4 linked regions of the Stegostoma tigrinum genome follow. The protein of the gene in region 2 purifies or fractionates together with the protein of the main gene of each other region. This does not show direct contact. Links are inferred from orthologs where the notes say so. Each region holds a gene or a part of one and is shown on either strand. Other genes may lie near its edges. The genes, in order: MAP kinase-interacting serine/threonine-protein kinase 1-like, eif4g1a, eukaryotic translation initiation factor 3 subunit J and eif4ba.

Region 1 (7,855 bases), on a different chromosome or scaffold from region 2:
GCTGATATTTGCTATATGAAATTACTGAGGCATTATGATCATCCTATTAACTTAGTAAAAGCAAAATAATGCAGATGCTGGGAAGCTAAAATACAACTAAAATGCTGGAGAAACTCAGCAGGACTGCAGCATCTATGAAGAGAGAAATAGTATTCACATTTCAAGTCTAAAATTACTTAATCAGAACAAAGTATTAAGAATCATATTACACTCAAAACGTTTAAGCTGTTTCTGTCTATACAGACGTTGCCAGACATGCTAAATTTCTCCAAAAATTTGTTTTAATCCCATTACTTTAGCCTCAATATTACTTTCAAACTAAACGTTTAAAAATTCATCGATTTTATGTAGGTTATTTTCTTTGATTTGAAGAACTGACATGATCCATTTTAAAATCAAGCATGTTGAATTAATGCATTTCGAAACAGTCATTTTTCCATTAAATTCCTGAACATTAAACTGATGAGGTTTCATATGATTTATATTTTAATGTTCTTGTGTACAGAATATTGTTTTGCATAGGTTTTTTAATTGATGGAAATTTCTGAAATAATTTTCTACATTTATATAAACAAGATGACGTCTGAGAGTTTTCCAGAAGTGTTGCTTTTGATAGCCATGGTACTGGAATCAGGAAATTGAAACTGCAAGGATCATCTTCTGAAAATGAGTGAACAGGAGTGATTGTGAATTATTTTTTTACAAGAACATATACTGAGCTGGAAATGGATAGAATTTGTAGGACATTATAAGGAACTTGGTTTGTGAAATGACTAAATAAAAAATTCACTGGTCATAACAATACTTAAGCTATTGTAGACATTCTTATTATGTTTTTCCTACTTGTGCATTGCACTTTTAATATTTTTTTGCTTTTGGGCTTTATTATTCTCTTTGTTTTAAATAGAGCTATTATGAATTAAAATTACTAAGTTATTGGTTTTCTACCAATTTGAACAGAAATGCTTAAAAATGTGGACTGAATTTTCAATTTTTTTTGGACAGTGCTTTTTCGAGCAAGATTCATGGCGCCCAGTGCACTGTGAAGCATGGCGATTTTTTTATTTCTCTCATGCAATCTTCTGATCTTCATTAATCATGCAACTGAATTCTTTGGCACCTGTCTCATGAAGTCATGTGGCGGGGTGGGGGGTGGTGAAAACAAGTGCTTGCTAATGCAGGGACTTTGCAGTGTTCTTGCTGCTGGTGGTCATGGCATACCGTCTACGCGCATCCACACACACACGCATCAAATATGTACCAGCTCCTAAGAATACTAATGGTGTATCTGCACCCCACAATATAGTACGCTTGTTCAATTCAATAATGCACTTTGGGTTGCAGCAACAACTATTATTGTAAAGCTGCAGTGAAGACACTTGGTGCTCAGGAATACACATCAAGCTCATGGACCAGATCTGGCTGCATCTCCAGGTTCTTTGCTTACTGTTAAGTGCTTACTTACTCTGAGCCTACCTGAATGCATGCAATATCCCCGCCTTGCAATGCTTTGCCTTTTTTGAACATTTCCCCTCAGCCAGACCTACCAGCCTGAGATTACTTCTGTCTTGGGGCCTTGCTGTTTACAAAGCCAGGAAGTTTGTCATGGTAGTCAGCAGTCCTCACTCAAGCTGACATAGGTAGACTGCAGTCAGAGGGGCCCTGCACAGTAAATCAGATGCTCAGGGTGATCAGAGTAAGGTTCTTCTTCATATAGGGGCAAACAACCACCCAACTTTCATTTCTGCCCTACGGTGCACCGTTTTCCACCTGTAATGAGAAAGAGGCAGGTTTTACAGGAATGAAAAGTGTATGATATAACTGATGCAGATGGAAGTTTCCTGGGTGAGTGAGTAGGCAGGGTTAGAGGTGTTGAGGTGAGTGAGCGCAAGTGGGGAAAATGCGATAGTGTGTGGGCTTCTGTAGGACCTGAGTACAATAGCAGAGTTAGTGTGAGATATCAGAGTGATGGTGGCACATACACTGGTGGAATGGAGAAGGTCACTAACTTTCTTCCTACACTATTGGACATTCCTTCAGATGGTTGAAACTCCAATAACCCAGGTGACCGGACTAGTGTGGTCTGGTTTTGTGGCTCCCAGCGCTGTTCCTGGGCAAGAGGCCATTCCCTGACTGCACTGCCCTTTTCAGCCACACTTTCAGTTCCTATCTGCAAAGCAGTGGTGCCAATTTCCTTGTTTGGCAGGTACAGGGAAAACGTCAGGGATGTGATCTACAGCTGATGACTGACAGTGCTTGTCCAAGGTGCACAATGGGCTTTTAAATGATAGTGTGGGTATAAAGCTGCTAGTTCATCAGTGAGCATCTAATAAGCGGTGAGCTGTGTTAAAATGTGGACAGAATTAGACAAGAGGGTTGCAGTAGGGCGAAGTAGTTGTTAAGTAGTTAATGAGGTGAGTTGTGAAATATACATAGGCCTCCAGCGAGAGTCCCTCCAAAAACTTCGACACAACTCACACTTAGTCAAAAAAACTGCAAGATTTAGCCAAGATAGTAGGAACTGTAGATGCTGAAGAATCTGAGATAACAAGGCGTAGAGCTCCTGCTCCAATGATGCTGCTTGGCCTGCTGTGTTCATCCAGCTCTACATCTTGTTAAGTAAGATTCAGCATATAGTTTTTCAAAACTATGAAATTTAGGCGAAGGACAGAACTTCCTCTTTTCTTAAATTTGTTCATTAGATGAGGACATCACTTGCTAGGCCAGCATTTATTCTCCATCCCTAATTGCCCAAAAGGCAGTTAAGAATCAACCACATTGCTGTGGGTCTGGAGTCACGTGTAGGCCAGATTGGGTGAGGATGGTAGTTTCCTTCCCTAAGGGACATTTGTAAACCAGATGGGTTTTTCTCAACATTCAGCAATAAATTCATGATCATCATTAGACTCTTACTTCCCAATTTTTATTGCATTTAAATTCCACCATCTGTCACGGTGAGATTTGAACCTGGATCTCGGCCCAAAACGTCAGCCTTCCTGCTCCTTTGATGCTGCATGGCCTAATGTGTTCATCCAGCTCTACACTTTGTTATCTCCCCAAAACATTAGTTGGGTGTCTAGAATAACAGTCAAAACATTAATGCCATTAGGCCAGCACCTTCCCATAATCTCTAGCAAAAGATTAAATAGAATCATAGAGTCGTACACCATGGAAACAAACCATCGGTCCAACTCGTCCACGCTAACCAGACATCTCAACCTGACCTAATCGCATTTGGCCCATATTCCTCTATATCCTTCCTATTCACATACCCATCTAGATGTCTTTTAAATGTTGTAATTATACCAACCTCCATGACTTCCTTTCACAGCTCATTCCATACACTTACCACCCTCCACATTAAAAAATTATCCCTGATGTACGTTTTAAATCCCTCCCCTCTCACATTAAACCTATGCCCTCTGGTTTTGGAATGCTCCACCCAAGGATAGAGTGGAAAGTATGAGGCTTTTTCCCAGGGTGCAGGGGTCAATTACTAAGGACACAGGTTCAAGATGCGGGTGGGGGTGGGGCAATGTTTAAAAGAGATGTGTGAGACAAGTTTTTCCACACGAAGGGTACTGAGTTCCTGGAATGCGCTGCCAGGGGAGGTGGTGAAAGCAGACACATTAGCAGCATTCAAGAAGCACCTAGGCAAATACATGAATAGGAAGGGAATAGAAGGATACGGCTCCTGTAAGTGAGGACAATTTTAGTATGGAGGGCAAAATGTGTCAGCACAGGTTTGGAGGGCCAAAGGGTGTGTCCCTGTGCTGTATTATTCTTTGTTCTTTGAAAAACATGTTGGCTCTTCACTCTATCCATAAACCTCTATAAGGTCACCATTCAGTCTCTGATGCTCCAGGGACAAAAGCCCCAACCTATTCAGCCTCTCCCAATAGCGCACACCCTCTAGACCCAGACTGGCAGGAGGATAAGATTTATATCATGCATTTAAAGGAGATGTTTGTAACAGTGCTTTATGATACTTTGTGAGCTAAGCAGATAAATACTAATTTTCATTAACCAACATCTCCGCCTATTAATGTTTCAGCAATTGAAAGCTGAAAATGCTGGAAATACCGGGCTTGGCTGTATCTGTGAAGAAAAACAATTCATGACCATAATTCAAAACATTGCTTTCAGGAAATTTAAGTGTTAACTATAGAGAAAACAATGTTCTGGATTTTGTAACCTATCCTATGTTTTATTGTTCAACATTTAAAATACATAATAAATCTCAGAAAATAATTTCTTAAACTGACAAGATTAAATATTGCTAATTCTTGATCACGGTTTGTTTTGCCACTGTTAAGTGATGCAGAACATTCAATATTGGAGAAAAAATTATGATCTTTAATGATCCTAAATGAAAAAAATGTTTTAAAAAGTAATACCTAGAAATGGATGTATTGGATCTCCAATTCCTGTCTTAACCTGTGACTACTTAAATGGCAGTTATGGCTCCGTAGGAGATCTATACGCTTTATTTTCACATCTGGTGTGGGAAATATTTCCTGTTTTCAGACATTATCAGATCAACTAACCTGAGTAAGTATAATGAAGGTGAAGACACAGCTGAGTAGCAAAGGAGTGATGAGCACATTGAACAGAGTATATGGGGCAGTAGGTCCATAATCCTTTAATCAATCACTACAGATGCTCTGTTACAGAAACAGAAATTGCTGGTGAAACTCAGCAAGTCTGGCAGCTTCTGTGGTAAGACGGAGCTAATGTTCCACGCACGGAATCCTTTACCTTTAATAAGATGGCACCCACGAGCAGTCAATTCCCTTCCCAAGAGGGCGGTGGGACGGTGGCCGGGAGGTGCCTCGACAACACCCTCAGCTCCGGGAATTTCGACAAGCCAGTAGCGGCCAGGAGGAAGGAAAATGGCGGAAGGACCTTACGGCCGGAGTTGCAAGGTAAAGACTGAGTGGAGTTTGACTCTTACCGTTAGATGGGAGGACGTAGGTTTTTATTGTGTGTGAGTGTGAGTGAGATGGGGAGACCGGGGGACAGGCCCTAGCCGCCGGTTTCTCGGCCACTTTGTCTCTGAGTGACACAGAATGGACACGGCTTGGGATGACATTGTCAGAAGTTCTTATACTCTCTGTGCTAAATTATGTCGAGCTGTGTGATTTATTTGTAGTTGAGTTTTGTTCTTCCCCCGTCCCCCGCCTGTATGGAGACTCAAACTTATGACTCCGTCCAGTTAAAAATAGCAGAGAGACCAGGTTTCCCTTGAGGGAGGAGTTTTCAGTTTACGATCAGATAGCTATAGACCAGATCAATGGTGAGCATTTACCACCATCGTGCTCCCATCTGATTTGCAAATACATCCCGCCCCTCCCCAATCACAATGGAAATAAAGTCCCATCTTCTCACCACGGGCTGAGCTGCTATATTACTGCTCCCAATTGTTCTGTTTTTATTTGTAAAAGAACAAATGCACCGACCTTAAAAAGTGATACTATCCGGAGGGAACGTTGCAGGAGAGGAATCAGTTAAAATTTCGGATCGATCTGGGCGAGGAAGTCCTCCAGTTTTAGTTCATTGTAACTCATCTTGCATGATGCAACTTACCGGGACAGTTTCACCATTCAGTGACTGCGGTGGGACTGGTGTTTCCTCATCAAAGTTGTCACCTCAACACACAAACTCTGAATGTAGCTTTTGTAATTTTATTTGCGGAGGCTGTTTGTAACAAAGCGACTGCAATCTCATTTTCCAGGTATGTATTATCGTGGTTTAAATTGCGTTTATTTGAAACCCATTTCGGCTCATTGCTGGATGTGCTGATGAACTCCAATTCGTGTGAAATTTACTGTCGTACTCGCTGGGTAAATTGTCAAAGTTGTTTGTAAATAATGTTTCGAGGACATTAACACTGCTAACTGGCATGTTTGCAAAACAGGAACGGTTTAAGATCTGGCACCTTTGTATTGGATTTACTAAATATTAAACATTATTATGGCACAATCAACATTTACCCTAGCGAAAAGTTGTGTAGATGAAAAAGTGGCAGATTCCAAGGGCGATAAAATATCATAAACAATCTCCGACGTAGTCGGGGTGCAAAATTCAGGAATATTCAACATGTGTTTATACTGCAACATGATTGTTAGGTGTAGTTCTAGTTTCGGCCGGGCAAATAAACGTAAGCTTTACTTGCAACTCTTCATGCTCTCCATTTGAGAAATAAAACACGGTGTCTGCACGGGTACACAGTTATGTGGTTGAGGGGAGAGGGAGAAATTGAAAGTTATTGTTCAAATGTTTAAACAAACTGGTTTAAAATTTGTCCAGTGTGTTGAGCGCTTTTGACAACAACGAATTTATGCTGTGCACCGCGGACTATAACGCCATATCATTGCAGAATCAGGCTTAGCACTGACCTCTGATTAACGCTGAATTTAAATTCCGTAGGTGCATACGGCTTGAGACTAGCACGCTAAACTAACTTTATACGAATTGTGTATTCATGCTAAAGAAGTGTATCTTGCCTGATGTGTCCAAACGTGTCTAATTAAACCGAATTTGTCGTTATTTTTCATCATTAATCGAATCATAGGATACCAGTTAAAGATGTGAAAAAATACATTTAAGTGTACACGGGAATGATGATGATTTGCTTAAGAACAATTTCTAATGGGTTCGTTTTCCCCCTCAATACCATCACACACTCAACAGATGGCCTCCGGAACTGTCAGCATGCCTTGGGGATTTTTACTTAGAAATCCAGTGTGCAAGTTCCGTTTTCTTTCAGAATTAGGATTTGCAAACTTGGCTGTTACCAACATTTCTTAAGCGATAATAGTAATTGCAGATGCTGGAGAATCCGAGATAACAAAGTATAGAGCAGGATGAACACAGCAGGCCAAGCCGCATCTTCGGAGCTGCTTGGCCTGCTGTGTTCATCCAGCTCTAGACTTTGTTATTTCTTAAGTGATGTTTTGTGGCTCCCCATGTGAGGTAAAGCATATTTTTCACAGGGATACTTCTGGTGGATTTTCGAGGATAAGAGTTGTTGTTTTGATCTGAACCACTGTCTCTGGCTTCTGCACTGCCGCTCACCTTGCTGCAGTTGCATTAGCGAGATGACTGTGCTGGGCCTTGAAATTTTTACAATTTACATCAGTGGCAGAGAATTGTGGGGGACGGGTTGGCATGATGGCATGGCAACTAAATTTGCTGACTATGCAAAGGTAGGTGGAGAGGTATTTAGGCAGCAGGGATGGCAGTGACGGTGGCTCAGTGGTTGGCACCGCTCCCTTGCAGCCCTAGGGATCTGGGCAACTGTCTGTGTGGAGGTTGCACATGCTGTCCATGTAGTTTTCCTCTGTATGATTCAGTTTCCTTCCACAGGCCAAAGATGTGAACATTGAGTGGGTTGGCTTTGCTAAATTGCCTGTAGTGTCCACGGATTTGCCATTGGAAATCAGGTGGTCTGAATGGGATGTTCTTTGGAAGATCAATGTGGACTTGATGAGCCAAATGGCTTGCTTCCACACTGTTGGGATTCCATCAGTAGTAAGGAGTTTGCAGATGGATGCAGACTGAATGGGCAAAAAATCCAGCAGATGGAGCATGATGCAGGAAAATGTGAAGGAGGAATAAAAGAAGCAGAGCATCACTTAAATAGAGAACCACAGAACCTGAGGTGCACAGGGCTTAAGTATTCTAGTACAAGTAAAAAAAAAGTTAGTATACAGATAAAGCACATAATGAAAAAGACTGATCTCCTTAATTATGAGAGGAATTGAACACAAGAGGAAGGATTACCTGAGTTTTATTTATCATAGAATCCCTACAATATGAAAACAGGCCATTTGCCCCAACAAGTCCACGCCAA
Region 2 (7,882 bases):
TTTTATGCCATGATTTTCTGTATGTTAACTTGGCCTCTGATGAAGGGTCTAGGCCAGAAACATCAGCCTTTGTGCTCCTGAGATGCTGCTTGGCCTGCTGTGTTCATCCAGCTCCACACTTGGTTAGCTTACAATTCAATTTGCTCTCTGAGTATTTTGGGATACGTACTGATAGTTTGGAAATCAGGACAAACAGTACTTCGTAGCATGCTGGTACTTGTAAAGTTCCCTTGACATCAAAACATTTCAAAACCCCTGACATTGCGAGTAACTATCAGGAAGCTATTTCATTGTGAATAGCATCAAAATTTAGCATAATATTGGTGTATCACCATATGTACTTTAGGGTTGGTCATTGGAAAGGGAAAAGGTACCCTATGTTGGGGTGCCAGCTGCAGCTAATTGTGAATACTTTTACACAACCTGTTCAGAGATGTTCTTATGTACCACTGTAGCAAGTGGGCACTTGAAACAAAGCCTCTTGGTTCAGGGGCAGGATACTACCACTGCACCACAACAGCCCCTGCCGTCAGTGTGTAAAGCCCTCTATCATTGTGACCTGTTGAAATGATATAATTCAGCAGAGAGTGGCCATTGCATTTTAGTCTTTCTTTTCCTGTAAGTTTGAGATACTTGTTTATTATATTTGCTTAGTCCCTGAGGATTCTGAATATGTTGAAAGAGGAATGTTGAAAAAATGCTTGCTGACAGAAATATCAATCAAAATAAACTTCTTTTTCCCTCTGTCACCATATTACAGTAGAAAAGTGAAAGACTGAATTGTTTTGGGTTAAAAATGCATTCTACACAGTTAATACAATTTTATGTTATTAAAATCATTTCTGTAGAAGCATAGCCAAAATATCAAAACTAAAATGTGCCATGACTGGCTTTTTAAATGACAATTTGTCTGCATAATTATGAAATAGATCTGAACCCACTTTTGACAGTGAACCCAAAAACAACAAAATCAATTTGGGCTGAGGAGTAGCAAATTGAGTTTAATTTGGAAAAATTTGAGGTATTGCACTTTGGAAAAACAAATAAGGGCAGGACTTATACAATTAAAAGTCGGGGCTTGGATTGTGTTGTAGAACAATGAGAACCAGGGCTTCAGGCACCTTGGTTCTCTGAAGTTTGTGTCACATGTGGACAGGCTGGTTAAGAAGATGTTTAGCATGCTTGCCTTTATTACTCAGAAGTTTGAGTATAGGGGTTGGGATGTCACATTGAGGTTGTACAGAACATTGGTGGAGCCTCTTTTGGAGTACTGTGTCCAGTACTGTTGCCCTATTATCGGGAAGATATTATTAAGCTGGAGATGGTTCAGAAAATATCTACCAGGATGTTACCAAGAATGGAGGGTAAGAGTTATGAGGAGAGGCTGGGACATCTTTCATTCGAGTGTAGGAAGCGAGGTATACTGAGTCTAGCACTGGAACGGTGAGTCCTGGAGTGGAGGTGAGGCCTTTGGGAAATGGAAGCAAGATCTCGAGGTTTGAAGCTCAGCGTGATCTGGAGACTTCGCCTGGGCAGGCTGAAGGTTGGGTGCTTGGTGGAAAGACTACAATTTGAGTACTTTATAAACGAAAACATTCTTATTCTTGTGCTGCACTTTTATATATGATTCTTTCATGTCTTTAACGCGTACTTAAGAATTCTGTCCCTAGGTACTCTGTACCTAAAATGGCACCAAAAGAGTTGACATTACAAACTTTTCACTTCATTCATCTGAGTGCACATGACAATAAAGGCTGACTCAATTCAATTCACCTTACAGAGGTTTATAAAATCAAGAAGGGTATATAGATAAGGTGAAGGCAGGTGTCTTTTCCCAAGGGTTGTATATTTCAATACTGGGGAACATATTTTTAAGGTGAGAGGAAAACAATTTTAAAAAAGACATGAGGGGCCACTTTTTCACACAGAGAGTGGTTCATGTGTGGAATGAACTTCCACAGGAACTAATGAATGCGGGTACAGTTAGTGTTTAAAATACAATTGGATAAGTAAGTGAACAACAAATATTTGGAAGGATATGGGCCAAGCACGGGCAGGTAGGTATAGTTTATTTGGGATTTGGGTTGGCATGGAATGTTTGGACTGAAGAGTCTCTTTCCATGGTGTATGACTGCATGACTTTATGGTCTTTTAGATCCTAAATGTCCCAAGCATTTCACAGGAGCATCATAACACTTGGTAAATCAGTCCTCTGTGGAGGTAGTTATTTCATTTCACGACATGCTGATAAAGCTTCTACTTAACAGAGACTCACACCTTGTATGAAATCTCAAGTGTTTTATAGCCAATGAAATTTTAAGTGTCACCAATGTTGTAATGTAGCAAATACAGCATTTAAGATACAACAAGATTCAAATATCAAAATTATAATGACCAGTTAAACTGCTTTTAGAAATGATGTTAGTTGAGGAAAGAACGTTGGCTGAGAATGGGGAAATCTCACATGATCTTTCTTCAAATAATAGCACGAAATCTGTACCATCCACCAGAGAGTTGAGTTGAGGCTTAAGTTTAACACCTCAACTTGAAGGTGGCACGTCCAACAATTAAAAATGCCTCACTGCTTCACTAGAGAACAGATCTAAGTTTTGTGCTGTAGGTTTTGGAGTAAGACCTGAACTCAGAGCCTTCACGTGGAAGTACCACCAACTGAGGCTCAATTGACATTTAAGTGAATCTTATTTTATTGTAATGACATCAGAATGACAAGTTACATCACAAAGCTGCCGGAATTGCTTTTTCTGTCCTACAAAATTATCCAAATTCATCTTTTTAGTTGAAAAAGTCTTGCAATTTTATAAAGTAGAACATACCCTAGGGGCTGCAGTATGGTATGATAAATACACTTGTTCACAAGTCTGATCACAACCCACTCATAAATATTATTCCATACACCTCACTCGTGAAGATATTCATCATGACACAGATGGATGTATCATATGATCCTTTTATATTTCTTTGCAGAAAATTACAGTACTCAGAATGTAGGAATTGGGATATGTTGATACAGGCTGCACCAAAATGTATTTAATAATGTTCATTCCTTCTTACTTAAAACATACCTGAGCATATTACATAAATAACAATTGTTTATAATTATTAACTTTTTAAAATTTAAACTATGAAGGCAGTTGAGTGACTTTATGATGTCATGAGAAAGCTGCTGACATCAGATTGGTACATTGTGACATAATTAAAAATATTTTCACTTTGGATAAGGAAACTTGTAAATAATGTAAATATGTAAATACTCCCCATTTGTTTAATGAGACTAAATTCTTGTTAAGAACAAGCAATTCCTCTTATCAGAAAGACCTTTTCAGTTCCAATGTACAGACTGTGATGGAAAAGAGTGAGAATACCTAGTTACTAACTAATCTATATATGTGTTGTAGCTTTTAACACATTATTCTGATGTACTCTGAAGATTTCTCCAGTGTCATTTAGGAGCAGTACAACCTGATATATCATTTTTGGGTTTAATCAATTACAGTGCAAGGGTGAATTCTGCGAACAATTCCTGATACAAATAAGTCTTTCTTGCCATGCTGAACTTGCTCTATGCAGAAATTGACTTCTGCACACTGTGAATAAAGACAGTAGCTACTCAGTATAATGCCCTGATATAATACATTGATTATGATCCCTTCACTAAGAGACTGAATATAACCATGTTATAATGTCTTTATAACTTGCTCTTTGCTTGTTTGATACCATTGAATGGCTCATAGTGGCTATATTGTATCATGGATAAGAGATAATGGGAACTGCAGATGCTGGTGATGGGTATAGGCCCGAAACGTCAGCTTTTGTGCTCCTGAGATGCTGCTTGGCCTGCTGTGTTCATCCAGCTTCATACTTTGTTATATTGTATCATGCATGCTTTGCTACAAAGGTTGCTGAGTTGCATATGGAACAGTGTTGGGAAATATTATTGATGCATTTTGCAAGATAATTGTAAGGCACTCTGTGTGGGGTGGGGCCTGTCATGCACCCTTACCTTCATGTACTGTTTTACACAAGTGTATGTGAACTTGGAAATTCTCATAACATGTTCTCAACTTAGTCTTTCATTTGGATCAGGACAGGTTGGGACTATTTCCTACCCATGGAGAAAAAGGGAAACAAATTGTGTAAGATATCTCCTCTGACTCTGTAATAATTTGACTTCCCACTCTGTCAGCCCACAAGCTATAGAGATTGTTTAAATTATTTTTTTTAAACAGAATTTGTATTAGCTCTGGTGAATTGTTAACTAGATTGAAAAACGCTGTCTGACCAGCTGTGATCTCCAGCAGATTTTTTTTGCATTAGCAGTTATATTTTCATATCATGCCCTTTAGATGTTTCTGAAATTTATGTTAATACTTGTCTATATCAGATTATTTGATATCACTTTGTTCGAGTCTGTGGGCTCAGAGATTCTACAATGAGCAAATTTCTACATGGCATTAGGGTGCTCAACTGAGTTTCCCTGACCTGTCTACTGGATTGTATGCGAGTTGGCTCTTCATGTTGCTTTACATAAACGTAAACTTTTACATAACGCAACTACTGTTTGTTTTTTTTCTTGTGGGGAGTGGTGTGCCGTCAGTATCTACACCTCCAAGTAATTCATTGAATATGAAGTACAGTTCCGGACATTTCTCGAAGAAATAGGATAATTTGCTCGCCACAAAACTGTTAAATTTCGGGGAGGGGCGGGGTTTGGGGGCAGGCAAGGAAACACCAGCCGGGTGGTGCGTGCATGCTTTGGAACTGTGGAAGAGAATGTGTTATTGCAACAATATTAAACCTAAGTGCTTGTGATTTAGGAGTGAATCGCGGCTGCCCTCTCCCTGGCGGTGTCACGTGTCCTTTCCGGAACCCTAGAGGCGGAAATCTCCGAAAGTAGCCGATCGTCCGGCTGTGCGGACTGAGGACGAAGGTACGCCATTACTGGGCCGCTTTTTATTATCCGTCTCCATCCTCGGCATGGAGACTGCAAGCAGTCACTGCTGACTGGCCCGGTGGCTGTCCTGCCTTCTGTGCTTCGGCCTGATTGTTTTATTTTTCTGATTCACAGGACAGAAGAAGGGAGGAAAGAAAAAAAACACTTACACCTTGAGGAGGAGCCCAGTCCTTCCCGGGTAAGGGGTGGCCTGACGTGTTTCTGCTGACACCCAGGGCTGGGGCTGCAGGAAAGGGGAGGGAAGGTGAAGGAACGGCTATATAGAGAGAGAGAGGGAGAGAAACCCCTCTCTCTAACTGGGGGGGCAGGCAACAGCGGCCTCAGCATATTCCTCCCCATCATCTCCACCTCCCGATTCCTGGGAATATCGAGTCGCTTTCAAGCCCGCGGCCGGCGCCACTCGGTTGGGGTTGGGGTTGGGGTTGGGGTGAAGGCCATAGCCTTTTAGCCCCACCACTCCCTAAAGCCCGGGTTGAGTGGCAGCCAGGCCCCAGTCTCTCTCCTCTCCCTCCCCCCCCATACTGGTTTTCCCCGGCTTCTGGAAAAAGACGGGGAGAGAGCAGGCCGTCCAGCCTGAGCCACCCCTCTCTCCCTCTGCAGCCAAGGGAGAGGAGGCCCCAGCCTACAAGAGTCTCATGTCATTTTGAAGTTTTTAGTGGGAGAGGTGAGGGACTGGCTAAAACCAAAGTCTGGGTTTTAACTTCTGTTTCTCGGTTGTGCTTGCTTTTGGTAGTAAGGCCCTTGACCATATGGAAGCTACGTCGCTGCCCTGGGGTGGAATGTAACCCCCGCCCCAGGCTCAGAGTGTCGTGGGTGGGGGGTGGGGGAGTTGGGGAAGACACCGGCCGGGCTTTGACTCTAGCTGTATATTGTATATATTAGTATTTGCATTAATATTTCTGCCGCGCGTGTGTAGGGTGTTAGCGCGTTTGTAGCCTGAGTCTGAAATGACACGTTTGTGCTGGAGGGGGAGGAGGGAAAAAGCCGGTAAAAGAGGAACCATGTGCGGCTGTTGGTTGGTCTCCGAGGCATAGCGCAAGCGAGTGAGTCACTGTCACCTCCCCACACGGTTGAGTGCTGCCGGCTCTTACTGCACAAACATCATCGCACTCCGCTGTTGCAAACTCTTCCTTAATCTTTAACTATATATAGATATTCACTCAACACTGAGGAAAGATCGCCATGTGACCATTTAAAAAAAAAGTGAGGGCTCGGATTTTTTCAAAAACGGAAGTGCATTGAAGTTTTAACCATCTTTGGGAATTACGTTTAATAAGTAGTAGCAACTTTGAAGGATGGCGTAATGGGAAAGTGTTGGAACAGATTTATTTAATTTTAAAGCTACTAACATGAAGGATACGAATAGCAAGTTTTAGAAAGTGCTGAGTCAATTCCTGTTTATAGCCCCCGATGTCTGCTTTCAGTTTGAAGACCCGATCCTTATGTTTTCGAGGAAAAGGATTGCTTTTTGGGGGTGGGGCAAGTGTGGGTAGATAGAGATAATGCATTGCAACGTTCAATTATCATTCGAGATTAAACTTACTTTTGAAACACATAGTAAGAAAGTTTATTGACTGAAATGCCCGATTGCTGCTAGCGAAACGTGTAAAAATCATTGAGCGTTTAGTTGTATTTATGAAATTGTGTTGTGAATTAATACCCAAGTTTCTCACTAAATGGTGAGGGCAAGTACTTTAGATATTTGAAATCTGCCCTTCACCACTGTAAATACTAATAATTTCTCATCTGATTTGACCCTGCCACTGAAAAAGTCTGTGTTAATTCAAGTACAAAAACACTTAGTTATCAAGTTATAAGGGGGCATATCATCAATACGATATGGGTTTTGGATTGACTGTAAGTTTGAAATGAATGCTGTGACATTTGATTTGATGTGGATGTTATGCAAAATATGGAGATGTAAAGCAGTTTGCATACATGAAAAATTAAATGATTTGAGAATGTGTGGCAAATATCAATGCATATACAAAGATCACAATAGTCACATTTCATATGACATTTTCACATGGACTCTGCTGCTCCCTGGCAGTGGGTGTGGTTTTGGTGTTCATTACAGTTTGTGCGTTTTCTCTCTGCACTGCAGTAACAGGCTGTAAGGTTTAATAATCGTCTCGTAGTGTATACATGAGAGAACGTTGTGTGTCTGGTAGAAGAAATGAGACTTCTTAATACTGATATCACAGTGTTGCCTCAGGTGTCTTCTGTTTTTTATCAGTTGTGTGCAGTCTGAGATTTTTGGAAGTGGCAATAGCCATTGGAATTGAGTCTAAATTAAAATGCACTTGACACTTGCATTTATTATGGCCTTCTATTTTGGTAAAGAACTTGCCTGAATTGATCTGTTGTCTAATTTTGTTTGGAATTAGTGTCAAATATTCACCACTGAAATAATCCAAATATATAGGTCTCCTGCATCATACCAAAGAACTTCATGCCAGGTTTCAAGTAGGCAAATTTAGATAACTCAAAATAATGCGCTACATATTTGAACAGTAGAAATAAAAGTGAGTTTAAACATTACAGCTGTTAGCAGTTCTGTTCGTCTAGTAATATATCTATCTTTTTTCCAAAAAGTGAAACAAGTTTGAAATGAGCTACCTGGTAAACAACTTGACTTACAGCAGGTCAGGCTGCATCCATGGAGAGAAAGCAGGCTAACATTTTGAGTTTCGATGACTCTTCATCAGCTCTGATGAAGAGTCAGCTAGACTTGAAATGTTAGCTTGCCTTCTGTCCATGGATGCTGCCTGACCTGCCGAGATCGCCAGCATTTTTTTGTTTTTGTTCAGATTCCATCATCTGCAGTAATTTGCTCTTAAACAACTTGATTAGTTGGTTAGCTTTACAGCGTTTTAATTGAAGTCTACATAATCACCTGTAGCTTAGGCA
Region 3 (7,724 bases), on a different chromosome or scaffold from region 2:
GCATTAACTGGTTTCTGCTTGAATAAACATCTTCCACTTGCCTGAATACTGCCTGTCTCCTGAGTTTTTTGTCTCTGATTATGGGGTATGCTCCGAAAGTATAATAGTTCAATATGACTTTTTATGAACTCAAGTCCATCTGGTTGGAAGGCAGTTTTGTCCATTGCTTGGTGTGATATGGTACTACTACGCAGAATTTCTCTGCCTGCCTGTTCGTTCATGTTCCTGTGACGCACAGCTATAAGTAATGGTTTTTTTCCATATTCTTTCATGGATTGTGGGCAGTATTGGCTAGGCCAGCATTTATTGCACATTCTCAATTGTCCAGAGAGCAGTTAAGAGTCAACCATACTGCTGGGGGAATCTGGCATCATGTGCAGGCCAGACCGAGGAAGGATATTTCCCTAAAGGATGTTAGTGAACCCAGTGACTTTTACAACAATCAGCAATAGTGACATTAGCCTGGCTTTTATTTTAATTCAAACTCCACCATGGTAGGATTGTCTTCAGGAACTTAAGTTTTGTCAGTAGATATATACGGGCTGAAGATATATTATACCTCAAGTGTACAACGTGCTGTGTCTTTCGACATAGGTTTCAGTCTTTAATGTTCCTAATTTAATCGCTCCATTGTTGACTGCTGTGGAATTCTCTCCCTAACCTCCCCTCTGTTTCTCTACTCCTTTAAGATCTTCCTTAAAGTCAACTTAAATAAAAACAAAATCCTGTGGATGCTGGAAATCTGAAATAAAAATTGAAAGTGCTGGAAAAATCCAACAGGTCTGGCAGCATCTGTGGAGAGAAAGTAGAATTAACCTTTCAAGTCTATTGACCCTGGTTCTGAACATTCTGATGAGTCCCACTGACCTGCTTTCTCTCTCTATAGATGCTGCTGGACCTGCTAAGTTTCTCCATCACTTTCTGGTGTTATTACTAAAAGATGTTGGTTTGATGTCCTTTTTGTGTAATTTGTTATTTGATTATTATTCCTGTGTAACATTTCAATTTGTTAAAGGCACTGTACAAAGGAAGGTTGTTTACTTGTGAAAGTTCTCCGTATAAACATGATTTTAGATAATGCTCAGTTTAATTTACAAAATGCTTCTGGAAGAAATGGAAAAGCATAAATTACTTTAAAGTTTAAAAAGATAAAGACCATCAGATATTGGCGCAGAATTAGGCCACATGGCCCATCAAGTCTGCTTCACCATTTGATCATGCTGATATGTTTCTCAAACCTTTTTTTCCTGCCTCTCGTAACCCTTGATCCCGGTACTGATCAAGAATCTGTCCCTCTCTGCCTTAGATATACTCAATGACTTGGCCGTCATAGGTGTCAGTGGCAATGAGTTCCAGATTCACCACCCCCGAGCTGAAGCAATTCCTTCTCTCCTCAGTTCTGAAGGGTCGTCGCTTCACTCTGAGGCTGTGTCCACGGGTTCTAGTCTGTCCTACTATTGGAAACATCTTCTCCACACACACGTCCACTCTATCTAGGCTTTCAATATTCTGTAAGGTTCAATCAAATTACCCCCTCATCCTTCTAAACCTGAGTACAGACCCAGAGTCCTCAACCACTCTTCATAGGACAAGGCCGTCATCCCGGGTTCATCCTTATGAACTTTCTCTGATCGCCCTCCAATGCTAATACATTCTTCCTTAGATATTGAGCCCAAAACTGTTCATAATATTCCAAATGCAGTCTGACCAGAGCCTCATACAGCATCAGCAGTACATCTTTACTAGAGATAACATGGTGTAGAGCTGGATGAACACAGCAGGAAAGCTGACGTTTTGGGTCAAGACCCTTCTTCAGAAAATCTCTAGTACATCTCTACTCTTGTATTCTCATCCTCTCGAAATGAATGGTAACATTGCATTTGCCTTCCTAACTGTCAACTCAACCTGCACGTTAACCATAGGGAATGCTGAACTACGACTCCAAAGTCCCTTTGTGCTTCACATTTCTGAAGCATCTCTCCATTAAGAAGATAGTCTCCATTTCTATTCTTCCTACCAAAGTGCACAAGCTCACAATTTCACACACTGTATTCCCTCTTCCACTTCTCTGCCCACTCTCCAACTCTGTCCAAGGCCTTCTGCAGCCTTCCTACTTCAACATTGCTTTCCCCTACACCTATCTTTGTACCATTTCAAAACTTAGCAACAATGCCCTCAGTTCCTTTGTCCAGATTGTTAATGTATAACATGAATAGTGTGGTCCCAACACCAATTCCTGTGGACTTGCACTACTAGCCTCAGGCTGCTGGCCCGAAAAGAAAACCCTTTCATCTCTGCCTTCTGGTAGTCAGCCAGTCCTCCAACTATGCAAGTATCTTGCTGTTAATACCATGGACTCTTATTTAGCAGCCTTCTGGAAATCCAATTACATCACATCCACTGGCTCTCCTTTGTCTATTTAACCACGCACTTCCAAATCCTGTGCAATCTTATTTTTAATAATGGACTCTAAAATATTACCAGCAACCGAGACCAGGCTACCTGGTCTATAACTTGTGAAGCTGGATGAACACAGCAGGCCAAGCAGCATCTTAGGAGCACAAAAGCTGACGTTGCGGGGCAAGACCCTTCATCAGAAAAGGGGGATGGGAAGAGGATTCTGAAATAAATAGGGAGCGAGGGGGAGGTGGACCGAAGATGGATAGAGGAGAAAATAGGTGGAGAGAAGAGTATAGGTGGGGAGGTAGGGTATCGGCACCGCCTCATGCTCCCAAGAGGAGCTCAAACAGTTCATCCACTTAACCAACACCTTTCACCTCAACCTCAAGTTCACCTGGACCATCTCCAACACATCCCTCACCTTCCTGGACCTTACTGTCTCCATCTCAGGCTACCACCTACAAACCGATGTCCATTTCAAGCCCACCAACTCCCACAGCTACCTGGAATACACCTCCCACCCACATTCCTGCAAAAATTCCATCCCCTATTCCCAATTCCTTTGCCTCTGCCGCATCTGCTCCCAGGATGAGGCATTCTACTCCCGTACATCCCAGATGTCCTCATTCTTCAAGGACTGCAACTTCCCCCCTGCAGTGGTCGACAGCGCCCTCGACCGTGTCTCCCGCGTTTGCCGCACCTCATCCTTCACACCCCGCCCCTGCAATAACCGCCAAAAGAGAATCCCCCAGTCCTCTCATACCACCCCACCAACCTCTGGACAAAACGCATCATCTGCCAACTACAATCCGACCCCACCCTTGTCTGCCTTCCGGAGAGACCACTCTCTCCGCAACTCCCTTCTCAGCTCCACACTCCCGTCCAACCCCACCACACCCGGCACCTTCCCCTGCAACCGCAGAAAATGCTACACTTGCCCCCACACCTTGTTCACTTGCACATCTGCCAATGTGGTATAGTGCATCCGCCGTGGCTTCTTCTACAGTGGGGAAACCAAGCGGAGGCTTGGGGACTGTTTTACAGAACACCTATGCTCGGTTCGCAATAAACAACTGCACCTCCCAGTCGCAAACCATTTCAACTCCCCCTCCCATTCTTTAGATGACATGTCCATCCTGGGCCTCCTGCAGTGCCACAATGATGCCACCCGAAGGTTGGAGGACAGCAACTCATATTCCGCTTGGGAACCCTGCGGCCCAATGGTATCAATGTGGATTTCACCAGCTTCAAAATCTCCCCTCCCCCCATTGCATCCCAAAACCAGCCCAGCTCATCCCTGTCTGCCTGACCTGTTCTTCCTCTCACGTATCACCTCCTCCCACCTCAAGCCATACCTCTATTTCCTACCTACTAACCTCATCCCGGACCCCTTGACCTGTCCGTTCTCCCCGGACTGACCTATCACCTCCCCACCTATACTCTCCTCTCCACCTATCTTCTCCTCTATCCGTCTTCGGTCTGCCTCCCCTCTCTCCCTATTTATTTCAGAACCCTCTCCCCATCCCCCTTTTCTGATGAAGGGTCTAGGCCCAAAATGTCAGCTTTTGTGCTGCTAGGCCTGCTATGTTCATCCAACTCCACACTTTGTTATCTCAGATTCTCTAGCATCTGCAGTTCCCATTATCTCTGGTCTATAACTTCCTGTCTTCTGCCTCTATTCCTAAACAGGGGTTGTTTCATTAACCATTTTCAAGTCTTCTGGGACCCTCGCTGGCTGCAGTGATTTCTGGAAGATCACCACCAATGCCTCCTCTCACAATCACCTTCAGAATTCTGGGGTGTAGTCCATCTGGCCCACATGATTTATCTGCCTTCAGACCTTTGAGCATCCCCAGCTTCTTAATGATGTCCATTGACTCTTGAAGTTATGCTCTCTTGCTGGTGTTTGCCACAGTGAAAACTGATGTAAATTTTCTCTTCGGTTCCTCTGCCATTTCTTTGTTCCTCATTACCACTTCTCCAACCTCACTTCCAGCAGTCTAATGTCCACTCTTTGCCTCTCTTACCTTTTAGATAACTGAGATAAAATTCATATCCTACCCCACCCCAATGTATTTTAATTACTGCTGGCTAGTTTTTAAAGGTGTTCCACTAATCTTTACCACGTTGTACAGTTTTGTGCCTTCCCTTGTCATCCTTGGCTGCTTCACTCTCCCTTCAGTATGATATATAAGAGTGCCTTCCTCTGGAAACTGCTGTCGCCGAAAGTCTAGGGTAGCGCAAGTACTGGGTGGGCAGACTCCTAGTCCTCCCAGGTCGAACTTCAGTATCCCACAATGTCTAGTCCTCCAGTATCCCACAGTTCCTCAGTGTGACGGAGCGAGCGAGCGGGCGGGCAGGCAGACATGGCGGACTCGGACAGCTGGGGTGAGCGCGGCTTTTTGTGTGTCGGGTTTAATGGCGCTGAGAGGTTCCTTCTGACTTTTCTTTCTCCTTCATTCCTCTATTTTGCCTATTTCACTCTCCAGACTAATAACCAACTTCAATTTTCTTCGCAGACGACGATTTCCAGACGCAGGGGCCGGTGAGCAAGCCCGTGATCGTGGACAGATGGGAAGGCGAGGACGAGGAGGAGGATGTGAAGGTAAAGAAAACACTAGACCTGGGCCTGAGCCAGCTTGGGACCCTGGTCAGCAGCAGTCCTGGGCCCAGGCAACCTATCCCGCCGCCGACCGTTTGTCGTGGCCGAGTCTGTCTCTTATTATGCTAAAGGTGCTACACAAATGTAGGTTCATGTTTAATTTCTGATGGGAGTCGGGGCGTCACCGTTGCTCCCACATGGTTCATGCTGATGGGGTGAGTGGTAGAGCCATGCTTAATACCACCTGTTACATATTCTGTTTCCTTGGTTATTCACCCTATGTTCGTGGAGCCTGAAGTTGGCACTCTTCAACACCTGCAAAATAAATTCCAATCCTCCGGTTCAAAACCTGGGATAGATTCACTTCTTCCCGATGTATGTAACGTTTAACTCTGAATGCTGTTTGTTCCTCTAATTCCATTATTTGGTCCATCCTCCGAGGTTTTGCCCACTGCTGCCAGCTGTGCTTTCAGTTGCCTAAATCCAAATTAAACTTCACAGCCTTTCTATTCTTTCTCCTGTTTTAATGTGCTTCTTAAAATCAGTAATTTGAACAAATTTTTGGGCAGTTGTTTAAAGGTGGCTTAGTGTCAGTTTTTGCCCTTTTTGATGGAGTGATGGAGTGTAATTTCCAGTCATTTATTGGTCCTTTCGAGGGTATCAATCTTCTCGTGTTTGTTTGCTGGACTTCAGAGATGTAACCTTTTTGTCATGGTAAACCATGTGTGTGTTGAATGGTTGTGGTCCCATCTGCTTGGCTTTTCTGTTCTTCCACTGGTATTGATGTAAACCTACTCTCTACCTTTTGATAATTAAGTTAACAACGTAGCAACAGAGAAGCTCTTCCATTGTGCTTACAGACAATAATTAGTCACTGTGTTGTTTTATAGGGGTCAAATTTGAGTGGAAACGTAGTTTTGTCTAGTTTAGGAGTCTCAGATTTCTCTATCCTCTGGAATTATAGCAGAGAAAGAGCAAAGTAATGTAATTTTTTAAAAAACTAACTTCAACCCAAGTGCATGTTTTATTTATATGTTCGAAAACATTGCCATTGTATCGTTTTACTTCCCACATTAATTCCAAAAGGTTATACAGAAAACACATTACTCCCACCATTACAAAGGCTGGCACTGCTTAATTCTAGCGTCAAGGGTGTCAAACTCCATTTACATAGTGGTTAGCTATTCAGGCACTGAGCTACACATGCTTGACATCAGGATTTTTTCAGCTGCTTTCCAGTGTATTCATGTGTTTTACCTGTTTATTGGGCGGGGGGGGGTACAGTGTATTGTATAACAATTCATGTTATGCACTGCATGGTGGCAAATCCAGTCCCAGTGATGTGAAAGCATATTGATCTTCTGGTGCATGTGGTAACTGTCAAATGAAAGGAACATCCTGTGGATGCTGGCTATCTGAAGTTGAAACAGAAAGTGCTTGGAAAACTTGTTGAGTGTGTCAGCATCAGTAGAGAGAAACAGTTGCCTTTTTGAATCCAGTACAGTCCTTTGCTTCCATTTTTCTCTCCAAAAATGCTGTCAGACCAGCTGAGTTTCTCTAGCACTTTATTTTTATTACCTGGTAACCGTGTTGCATCAAAGACAAAAGATTTCCACACTTTTTACCCCCATAGCAATCAATGTAGTCCGAAGATTTCTAAATTGGAAGGAAGCTAATGGTCCTCAGTGTTTACTGTGCGTATAAAACTCCCAATGCAAACAAATTTCCGTTATCACCCAGGGGTTCCCCCTCTCATACTGGAGCCATGACTTTTTAAAACTAGTAAGAATGACATGTTAATTATTAAACCCCTTCACATACACTGTCCAAAACCACATGCCAGTAGCTAAAAATCCAGGCTCTAAAATAAATACTACTAATGCATACATAAATCACACACCTTACATTAAACAAGTAAGTGTTCTCAACTAGTAATGTTACTAAGAAGTTTTGAAAGAAGTGAACAGTATGGTAATGTGATGTTAAAACGTTACATTTAAAAGCTGTAGTGTACTTAATCCAGAAAAGAAACATGAAATCAATAAAATATTGGAGATGAAGGAAAGATAAGGATAAATATGGCATAAATAAGCTTGCTTTACACAAATCCAAATTAGAATAAATTCAACCTTGCACGTATGAGATTTAGGCTATAACTGAGATGGTTAGAGCTGGGAACTAAATCTAACAGGTCAGCAAAAGAGGAACAGCTAATGTTTGTGAGGAGTAGCCTTACTTATTAAGGATGAAATTACTTCAAAAAATTCATAAATATTCCAATAACGTAAGTAATCAGTGGAGACTTTTCTTTTGAATTAAGAAATAAGGGAAGGCTTTAAAGACTAGGAGGAATTGTGTATTATCCCTATGATAATGGAACAGTGTGTTGTACAAATGCAGAAATTAGATAAGTTTTTAGCTTTTCTTAGCTTTAGATATGCTGGAGTGCATAAATGGGAACCCAAACTTGGGTAGAGTCTAACCCATGTCAGAAAGCAAGGGAATTTATAGTTGCGGGAAACTTTCCTGAGTGTATAGAATGTTCTAAAACGAGCAAGGATTAGGCTAAATTTAGTAAGTTTATCGTTGAAGTTTTTCTAATAGTGTGGTGCTGTTGAGCGTGAATACTATATAGTGTCTGTAAGAGAGAAATATGAAATGATCACTGAAATTCCAGATTTACTCAATGCAGGAGAGAGACTGCCCACAATAAATCTAGTAT
Region 4 (7,969 bases), on a different chromosome or scaffold from region 2:
TTAACCCATTGTATGTTTGTACACTAATCACAACAAGTCATTTCAAGGCTAAAGCGTTTGAGAGACATCAGCGACAAATACGGGATTTGAAGAAGGGGACTTCACCAAAGGTTTACTTGGAAGAACACACACCCCTCCCCGTCTATAGTTAGACTATAGAATAGACATTGTTATGGGGATGAACATATCAGCCGTTTCGTGCACAGCATGGTTCTATAAATAGTTAAATGACCAGTTCATCTGCTTTCCTTGATCGTTGACTCGAATACCTGGAAAACTGCTTAACTCTTCTTAAAAATGCGCTAGAAGACCACCTGAAGTATTTGGAGTAGTCAAGCAGTATCTTGGTTTAAGATAACAAAGTGTGGAGCTGGATGAACACAGCAGGCCAAGCAGCATCGCAGGAGCACAAAGGCTGACGTTTTGGGCCTAGACCCTTCGTCAGAGAGCCCTCTCTGATGAAGGGTCTAGGCCCGAAACGGCAGCCTTTGAGCTCCTGAGATGCTGCTTGGCCTGCTGTGTTCATCCAGCTCCACATTTCATTATCTTGGATTCTCCAGCATCTGCAGTTCCCATTATCACTGATACAGTATCTTGGTTTAATTTGTTTTTCCTCCACTATGGGACCTCTGACAATGAGGCAGATACTACACTATTAAGAGATCTGCAAAAATGTAAAATAGAGGTACAGCTGCCTGCTAGCAAAATGCTGGACACCTGGTGTACTCCTGTTTCTATTTTTCTTATCTGTCTGGGACAGAGCCAATTTAAAACATCTTTTACTAAAAAGTTGTTTATGGATACTAAATGATGAAAACCCTCTTTAGATGTTCAAGATGCTCAGCTGGGAGAGTTAAGTCAATGAGTGAAAGTCTACTCTGACCACAGCTTTGCAGTTTTACATGTTACAAAGGCACCTCTTGCGGGTGCTAAATTAAAGAGAAAATTCCGCTCTGCAATCTCTTCAATTTGAGCTGATACAAGGGCGATGTCAAGACCATTAATTTGGGGCCTTCAGTAATTGCTTTTATTTCAAGTTACGCGATGAACACTTTCCACTTCCTAACAGCTGACATTCACCTCGATTAAGGAGTCAACTGCAGCAGAATTTAATGGCACTGTTACATATGCTGGCTCACTTTTCATATTCCATAATTTTTCAGTGAATTGTAGCCTCTTAGTACAAGAAGAATGGGTGTAACCAGTATAGTTGCATAGAATGTTTGTTCCCTTTGATCTCTCCAAGAGGAGCCATAACAACAGTATTACTGGCATTAATCTACTGTATTAAGACTTATTATCCTGCTTGTTATTATGAATGTTATTGTCAATGTTTCTATGAGTGGGGTGATTCATTCACTTTGCTTTGTTAGGTCATGCAATTTGATGGACTCTAAGAGTGTGCTTAACACACTGAATAGTAGCAAACTGTGAACAAAAACAAAGTTGCTGGAAAAGCTCAGCAGAACTGAGGAAGGGTCACCGGACCCAAAACGTTAACTGTTTTCTCCTTCACAGATGTTGTCAGACCTGCTGAACTTTTCCAGCAACTTTGTTTTTGTTCCTGATTTACAGCATCCACAGTTATTTTGGTTTTTTTTTTAAATGTAGCAAACTGTGTATCTGAACCACAAATTGAATATTAGGGAGGCAAAATCAATCGGAAAATTAGAAAAATCAGAATAAATTCAGCTAAATCTGACGAGTATCAATTAGAAACACATTTCTGTCAGTTCTTACCTAGCTTGCAGATGAGCCATAATTTTGTCCAACTGAATATTGAGAACAACAGCCTTCGGCTGCTTTCTCTGGAAGCTTTTAGAAGGCTTTGATAGAATAGTCAGAGAAAATATTTCATTTATTAAGGAGTCCAAAATAAAGGCCATAAACAGTCAACATTAAATCCAATAGGGAATTCGGGAGGAACTACTTTACCCAGAGAGTAGTTAGAGTGTGGAACTCCCTATCACAAGGACTTGTTGAGGTAAATAGCACTGACATATTTAAGGAGAAATACACAAGAAAGAGAGCATCAGAAGGATATGTTGATTACATGAGGCTTTTGTGGAACATATTTAGCAATAGTGACCAGTAGAGATAAATTGCCTGTTTCAATGCTGTAACTTCTGTGTAATGTCAAATCCTTGGCTTTCATTTTGATCCACAGCTGAGTGTAAACCCTATATCTTATGCATTATCAAGATCATTTATTTCCAAACCCACAACATTGCTAATCTATGTACCTTACTCCACCTTCAACTACAGGGACCTACACTTATGCCTCCATCAATAGACTTGACTATTTCACATCTTTTGTATTGCCACTTGACTACAATAAATTCCAAATCACCCAAACTCCACAGTCCGCAACTGAATGTGCTTGCTGGTCTACACTGGCTCACCATCAATGAACAGATCAACTCATCCTCTTCTGCAAATCTTTCACGATCTCATTCCTCACCCAACCTCTGCAACCTTCTTGAGCTTTCCATCCCCTCTGGCAAAGTTTGATTTTCTGACTCAGGCTTCCTAAGATTTTCTCCCTCCTTCCACTTCACCATGAGTGGCAGAACCTTCAGTTGTCTTGGCTCATTGTATGGAACGCTCTTCTCAAACCCATCTTCCTTTCCTTCATTCATCTCCATTTTTAAAAGCCTCCCTCAAAACTATAGTCTGAGCCAAGGTTTTGATGTGTCTTTGTGAAATGCCTCGGTTCAACGATTTCAAAAATATTTTACTGGGATGCTGGCAATACCGGCAGGGCTGCATTCATTTCCTACATTCTGGCCGCTCCAAGAAGATGTGGCTAGCACTTCTACTTCAATCACTGCAGTTTTTGTGGTGATGGAACTTCTACAATTGTATTAGATAGGGAATTCTCAGATCTTGGCCAAGTGATAAAGGCAAAAATGATGTCAGCATTAATACAGCAGGTAGTACTGTCTTGTTTCTGAAGGTCATGAATTCAAGCCTTATTCCAAAATATAAGCACATAATCTCAGCCACCACTCCAGTGCAGTACTGGGGAAACACTGTGTTGTCAATGGTCCCATTATTCAAATGATACTTCTGCCCTCTCAAGTGAATGCAAAAGATCCCCTGGAATTATCCAGACTGCAGCTGTGGGAGTGGGGAGCGGGGAGCAGGGAGCTGGGAGCAGGGTGGGGGGGGGGGGGGTGCTCCTTGCGACACCAGCCAATAATTAGCTCTCAATCAACAAAACTAAAACAGATTATTGGATTTTTTCTCTCATTGATGGCACAGACCCTGCCTAGCAGTTTGGCTTTGATGTTTTTATGCTTTAAAATATGACTACACTTGAAAAATTACTTCATTGGCTGTAAAGAGGCTCTGAGATCATGAAAGGCATTATATAAATGCAAATCTTTCTCCCATTATTCTATAGTTAAATAAGGATGGTGTATGACTTGCAGGTAAACCTCGAGGTAATGGTGATGCCATAACACTGCTGTCCTTGTCCTTTGTGTTAGAAGTCACAGAGCGGGAGCTGCTGTGGAGGTCACCTTGGTGTATCGTTAAAGTTCATCTTATACATTGTGGATGTTGCAGCCAAGGCACACCAGTGACCAAGAAGTAGATATCAAGTCCAGCATAGAGGGTACCAATGAAGTGAGCCACTTTTCTATATTAAAGGTGCTTTATATGTGCAAGTTGTTATATAACTGAAAGGAAAATAATCATTTTCCGATCCCTACTCATAATATAACTTACTGATCTGGAGGAAAAGAGTGTAAACTTTGAAAATAAGTTTCTAAAAATGAATATTCAGGTTGGTAGCAGTTGGCAAGGCTATTATTTATTGTTCATTCCCAGCTGTCCTAATAAATTGTTGATGATGGCTTTCTTCTTCAAATGCTACCTTTTGTAGCAATTTATTGCAACTGAGCATCTTGACTGCCACTCGGAGGGCATTTAATACAGTGATGTGGAACTAGAATCACATGTAGGCCCAGACTAGATAAGGACGGAAGATGTGGTTGATCTCTATCAGTTGCAACTCTTTACGCTGGAAGAAAGCAATTTTTTTAAGGTGCTGGACAGAAGAAAATAACCCGATTAAAACTTGGAAATGATGACTATTGGTCCAATTTATTTTGTACACTTGAGAAAGGAACTGCACTATGAACAATGCATTATTTCCCAGTTTTGCAGTTTTTTTCCCCTCCCAATTTGGGAACACAGTGATACAGAATTCGTGCTCTCGACTTAACCATAGTGCAGTGTGAAGGGTAAATTAACGAAGAAAAAGGATTGTGCCTGGAATGTTAGTTTTCCATCCTCATCAGCAGGAAGAAAGCAGGAATAAAAACAGCAATATGTTTGCAAGTTTTATTGGTTTTTCCTTTTGGAATATAGCAAAGATCTATCGATCTCAGACTCAAAATTTTGCGGTTGTATCTACCATTCTTTTAGGGAGAAAGTTCCACACTTTTACCCAGCCTATGTGTGAAGTGTATGCTGATCTTCTCTCTTGAATGACCTGTGACTCTAATTTTAAACTTAGCGTTAAAAGCTTATTAATTATAACTCTTAGACTTTTAACACCATCCCCCACTCTCCAAAGGATAAAGGCCAAGGTTTCGGTCTTGCCAGTGCTTTTAATTAAAGGAAATTTTGACTTATCAGCGATGTTCGTTAGGTTTCACAATGAACAGTGGAGGAATCACAAGAGGTGGTTGCGCTAGATTACCTGTTGGGATTTGTGGCTGTGGGAAAATTGGTATTAAATCGTAGATCTAAAGATTGACAGATTATTTATCATGTGCAAACTGTCTAATAGAAAAGTAAACAAAAAGAAACTTTCTGTTGGTGCTAGAAAGCTATTTTTATTTTTGAAACCTGGAAATGCTGACTAGATTTTTGTTTGTTCACAAATAACCCACTGTGTTTCCATTCTTTTCAGGTTCTAAAGTGATCTTATATCAAAACGGTCATTTTGCAACATGTTTTCGAAAAACACTGAAAAAAAAGTTGACCGCCTGCGCTTTATTTAAACCAAACAATCGCGAACCACAAGATTTACCTTCCAACTGCCAAGAAGTTTAGGTGTCACGTGAGATCGACATCCGGGTTCTGTCAGTGGTCATTCTCCAACATGGCGTCTTCAGGTGAGTAGCTGCGGGTGTCGCGCGGGGCTGGGTAAAAGGGACGAAAATGCGTTCAACTTGTGGCTTTTTTCCCCGCCCCCTTCACTTATTTGCGTTGGAAAGCGGGGTGACCGGACGTCGCGTTGGGCGGTTGGGAGGCCCGTGGCGTGTCGGGGGCAAATAAACGCGGGGCGAACGGCTGCCGAATGGGTTGCGGTACGTTGTGGTGCGTGTGCGAGTGAGCGAGCGGTAACCCGGGGCTTCGGCCTTCGCTGCAAGTTGGCCGCCCCAGACACGGCGCGCATGCGCGCAACGGATGGGTCAGGCCATATGCAATCAACTTCAGCTTCTCAAAAAATGCTTCCACCCCCTTTGGACCGGTATCTTACCGTGCGGCCCTAACTGTCACGCTGCGTACGCGTGTGTTGGAACTTCTGCGAGTCCTAGCGGCATCATTTGTAATCGCCCATTTTGTGAAAATGCTATCTACACATTCTAAATTCTGTAGAGGCCGAAACTTGAATCGCACTGTTTGGTTTGCAAACCTGTGGGTTGCGGCTGATTTCCCGATGAGCTTTCCTGCCCAGATTCGGAGCCACCATCTTACGTTCCGAGTCTGTTCCCATGCCTCCATCACAGTCAAGACCAGTTTGGTCCCTGTTTGCCACGATGCTTCCGCAACTACTGATCTGCTCAGTTATGCCTTATCTTCAACTATGTTATCCTATTCCCTGTAAAACCCTGATGCACTCTTTGCCTTAGTCATCATTCTCCTGGCATGCTTTGCCACCCCCATTTTCACTCCTAATTTTAAGTGGGCAGAGAATTGAATGAGGTTTAAAGGGTTAAATTAAGGCAATGAGTTGGCTTGTAATGATTTGGAGTATAGTATAAGGTACTTAAAATGTTAAAGGGACTCAGTAACATAGGTGCAGAGAAACAATCCCTTCTGGTGATCGAGGGTGAAGGGACATGGTCATCTTAAAATTAGAGCCAGTCATCTGGGCAATCAAAGACTTTTTCACACCCACAACTGGAATTCTTCTCCCAGAGGAACTTTGAAAGATGGAATACATGCTGCTTTCAAAACTCAATTTATTTTTAAAATATTCATAGAGCTCCTACAGTGTAGAAGGAAGCCATTGGGCCCATTTTGTTTGCACTGACCCTCCAAAGATCATCCCACCCAGACCTAGCCTTCCACCATATCCTGTAACCCCGCATTTACCATGGCTAATTCAACTAACTTACACACTCCTGAACACTATGGGTATGACCAGTCTATCTAACCTACTCAGTTTTAGATTGTGGGAGGAAACCAGAGCCCTGGGGAGGGGGGTAACCCACACAGACGCCGGAAGAACTTGCAAATTTCTCATAGTTGCCTGAAGCTGGAAGTTGGGGTGTTGGGCACAGAGTATGAGGTATGGATCTTTACCGTTTTAAGTAGATGATGGTAGCAGGCTTAAAGATTCAATGCTTTTCTGTTCCTATCCATATGTTGCACAGCTAGTTGATGTTGAGCCATTTATTACTAGCTCTAGCTGTACCATATTGAGTATTATTGGCCTCTGTTCTCTTCTTCCAAAGCTCTCTGTATTCCATGGTCATCCTTGGTTTCTCTTCATTACCAATTGTCACCTTCATCCTTGTTCTTTATCTCTGTGCACTCACTCTCACTGTTCTCCCCACCTCCTCCAAAAAACAATAGTTTCACTAACTGGAGTTGCGAGGACGACTTGATTGCATATTCACAATCTTTGCAGCTAACTGTCTCTCTGGCATTACCCCCTTTTCTCTTGACTGCCCATATGAGGTGTTTTCTCCTGCCCTTGTCATGAGCTTGCATGTTTCTTTATTTTCTATCCTAATCTCATAGCCCTTCGAGATCCAGCTCTTGCTCACTGGACCCTATTGCTCCTAAACTACTTAGAGCCCAGCTTTTCTTGTAAAGAGTTTTCTCTGTTTGAGCACCATCCCTCTTCCTGCCAAATCTTCCGTTATCACATTTTATGCCAGATCGTTGAAATAGCTTTAAGCAAAGGCATCCTGTGACTTTGTTTACTGTTCTTCATCTTTCACAACATCTCTGCTGTGTTTAATAGGCTTGGAAAAAAGTTCTACATGAGAGTAGAGATAATGGGTATGTATTAAACCTGATTGGTATTGGGCCTAAAATGATAGGTCCAGGTTGTACAGAAGATTAAAATGAGGTGTTTATAATTAATGACTTGATCAGGCAGATAGAAACTATTGTCTTTCGTAGGAGAGTCCAAGACAAGGGCTAGGTTCTTAAGGAGTGGAGTCTGCAAGCATTTTTCACAAAAGGTAGTGAAAATCTGAAGCTGTCCTTCAAGAAGCTAAATTGAAAATCCTAAAACTACAGTTGATTATTTTTGTTAGGTCAGGGTGTAAAGAGTTATAGAACTAAGGAGGGTAGATGGGGTTAAGATTCAAACTAACGGTGATCTATCTGGCAGGATGAATTTGTGGAATTGAATGCAGTACTCTTGATACCATTGTTCCTCTGACCTATTCAATCGTAGCCAGAGAATCTTCTGTATTATCTCTGTTTCCTGCTCCCACGCTATTATCTTTGGACTCTCCTAAGAATATGTCCATGGCCGCCACCTATTTCAAAGCTATAAATTGCCTCTCAGCAACATCATTGAAGACGTTATGTCAGGCTTCTCCCTTGTGTGGACGCTACCTTGTTCCACTTCATAACTATCTGTCTCAACCTCTCCATTGCCTTAGATTGCTTGTTCTGTTTGAATTAGTTTCCTCCACTTTAGACCAAAGGCATTACCTTCGGCCTCTGCCGGAATATTCATTCCTGCACTGTTGATTTTCATCGCAAC

Evidence for each region.
Region 1: the proteins of eif4g1a (region 2) and MAP kinase-interacting serine/threonine-protein kinase 1-like purify together in Homo sapiens (affinity purification with western blotting; 3 studies listed by BioGRID and IntAct, with this or other methods). This does not show direct contact. The link is inferred for Stegostoma tigrinum from reciprocal best matches to the Homo sapiens genes EIF4G1 and MKNK1.
Region 3: the proteins of eif4g1a (region 2) and eukaryotic translation initiation factor 3 subunit J purify together in Homo sapiens (affinity purification with western blotting; 3 studies listed by BioGRID and IntAct, with this or other methods). This does not show direct contact. The link is inferred for Stegostoma tigrinum from reciprocal best matches to the Homo sapiens genes EIF4G1 and EIF3J.
Region 4: the proteins of eif4g1a (region 2) and eif4ba fractionate together in Homo sapiens (co-fractionation; 4 studies listed by BioGRID, with this or other methods). This does not show direct contact. The link is inferred for Stegostoma tigrinum from reciprocal best matches to the Homo sapiens genes EIF4G1 and EIF4B.

The regions. Positions count from the first base shown.
Region 1 is NC_081361.1:75,885,528-75,893,382, reverse strand, and holds the start of MAP kinase-interacting serine/threonine-protein kinase 1-like, read left to right. Parts: upstream 1-4,850; 5' UTR 4,851-4,925; intron 4,926-5,444; exon of another isoform or gene 5,445-5,734; intron 5,735-7,855. UniProt on the Homo sapiens protein: May play a role in the response to environmental stress and cytokines. Appears to regulate translation by phosphorylating EIF4E, thus increasing the affinity of this protein for the 7-methylguanosine-containing mRNA cap.
Region 2 is NC_081367.1:44,939,513-44,947,394, reverse strand, and holds the start of eif4g1a (eukaryotic translation initiation factor 4 gamma 1a), read left to right. Parts: upstream 1-4,865; 5' UTR 4,866-4,948; intron 4,949-5,086; 5' UTR 5,087-5,150; intron 5,151-7,882.
Region 3 is NC_081386.1:33,455,686-33,463,409, reverse strand, and holds the start of eukaryotic translation initiation factor 3 subunit J, read left to right. Parts: upstream 1-4,722; 5' UTR 4,723-4,766; coding exon 4,767-4,788; intron 4,789-4,919; coding exon 4,920-5,005; intron 5,006-7,724. UniProt on the Homo sapiens protein: Component of the eukaryotic translation initiation factor 3 (eIF-3) complex, which is required for several steps in the initiation of protein synthesis.
Region 4 is NC_081404.1:13,476,468-13,484,436, reverse strand, and holds the start of eif4ba (eukaryotic translation initiation factor 4Ba), read left to right. Parts: upstream 1-4,952; 5' UTR 4,953-5,116; coding exon 5,117-5,129; intron 5,130-7,969. UniProt on the Homo sapiens protein: Required for the binding of mRNA to ribosomes. Functions in close association with EIF4-F and EIF4-A. Binds near the 5'-terminal cap of mRNA in presence of EIF-4F and ATP.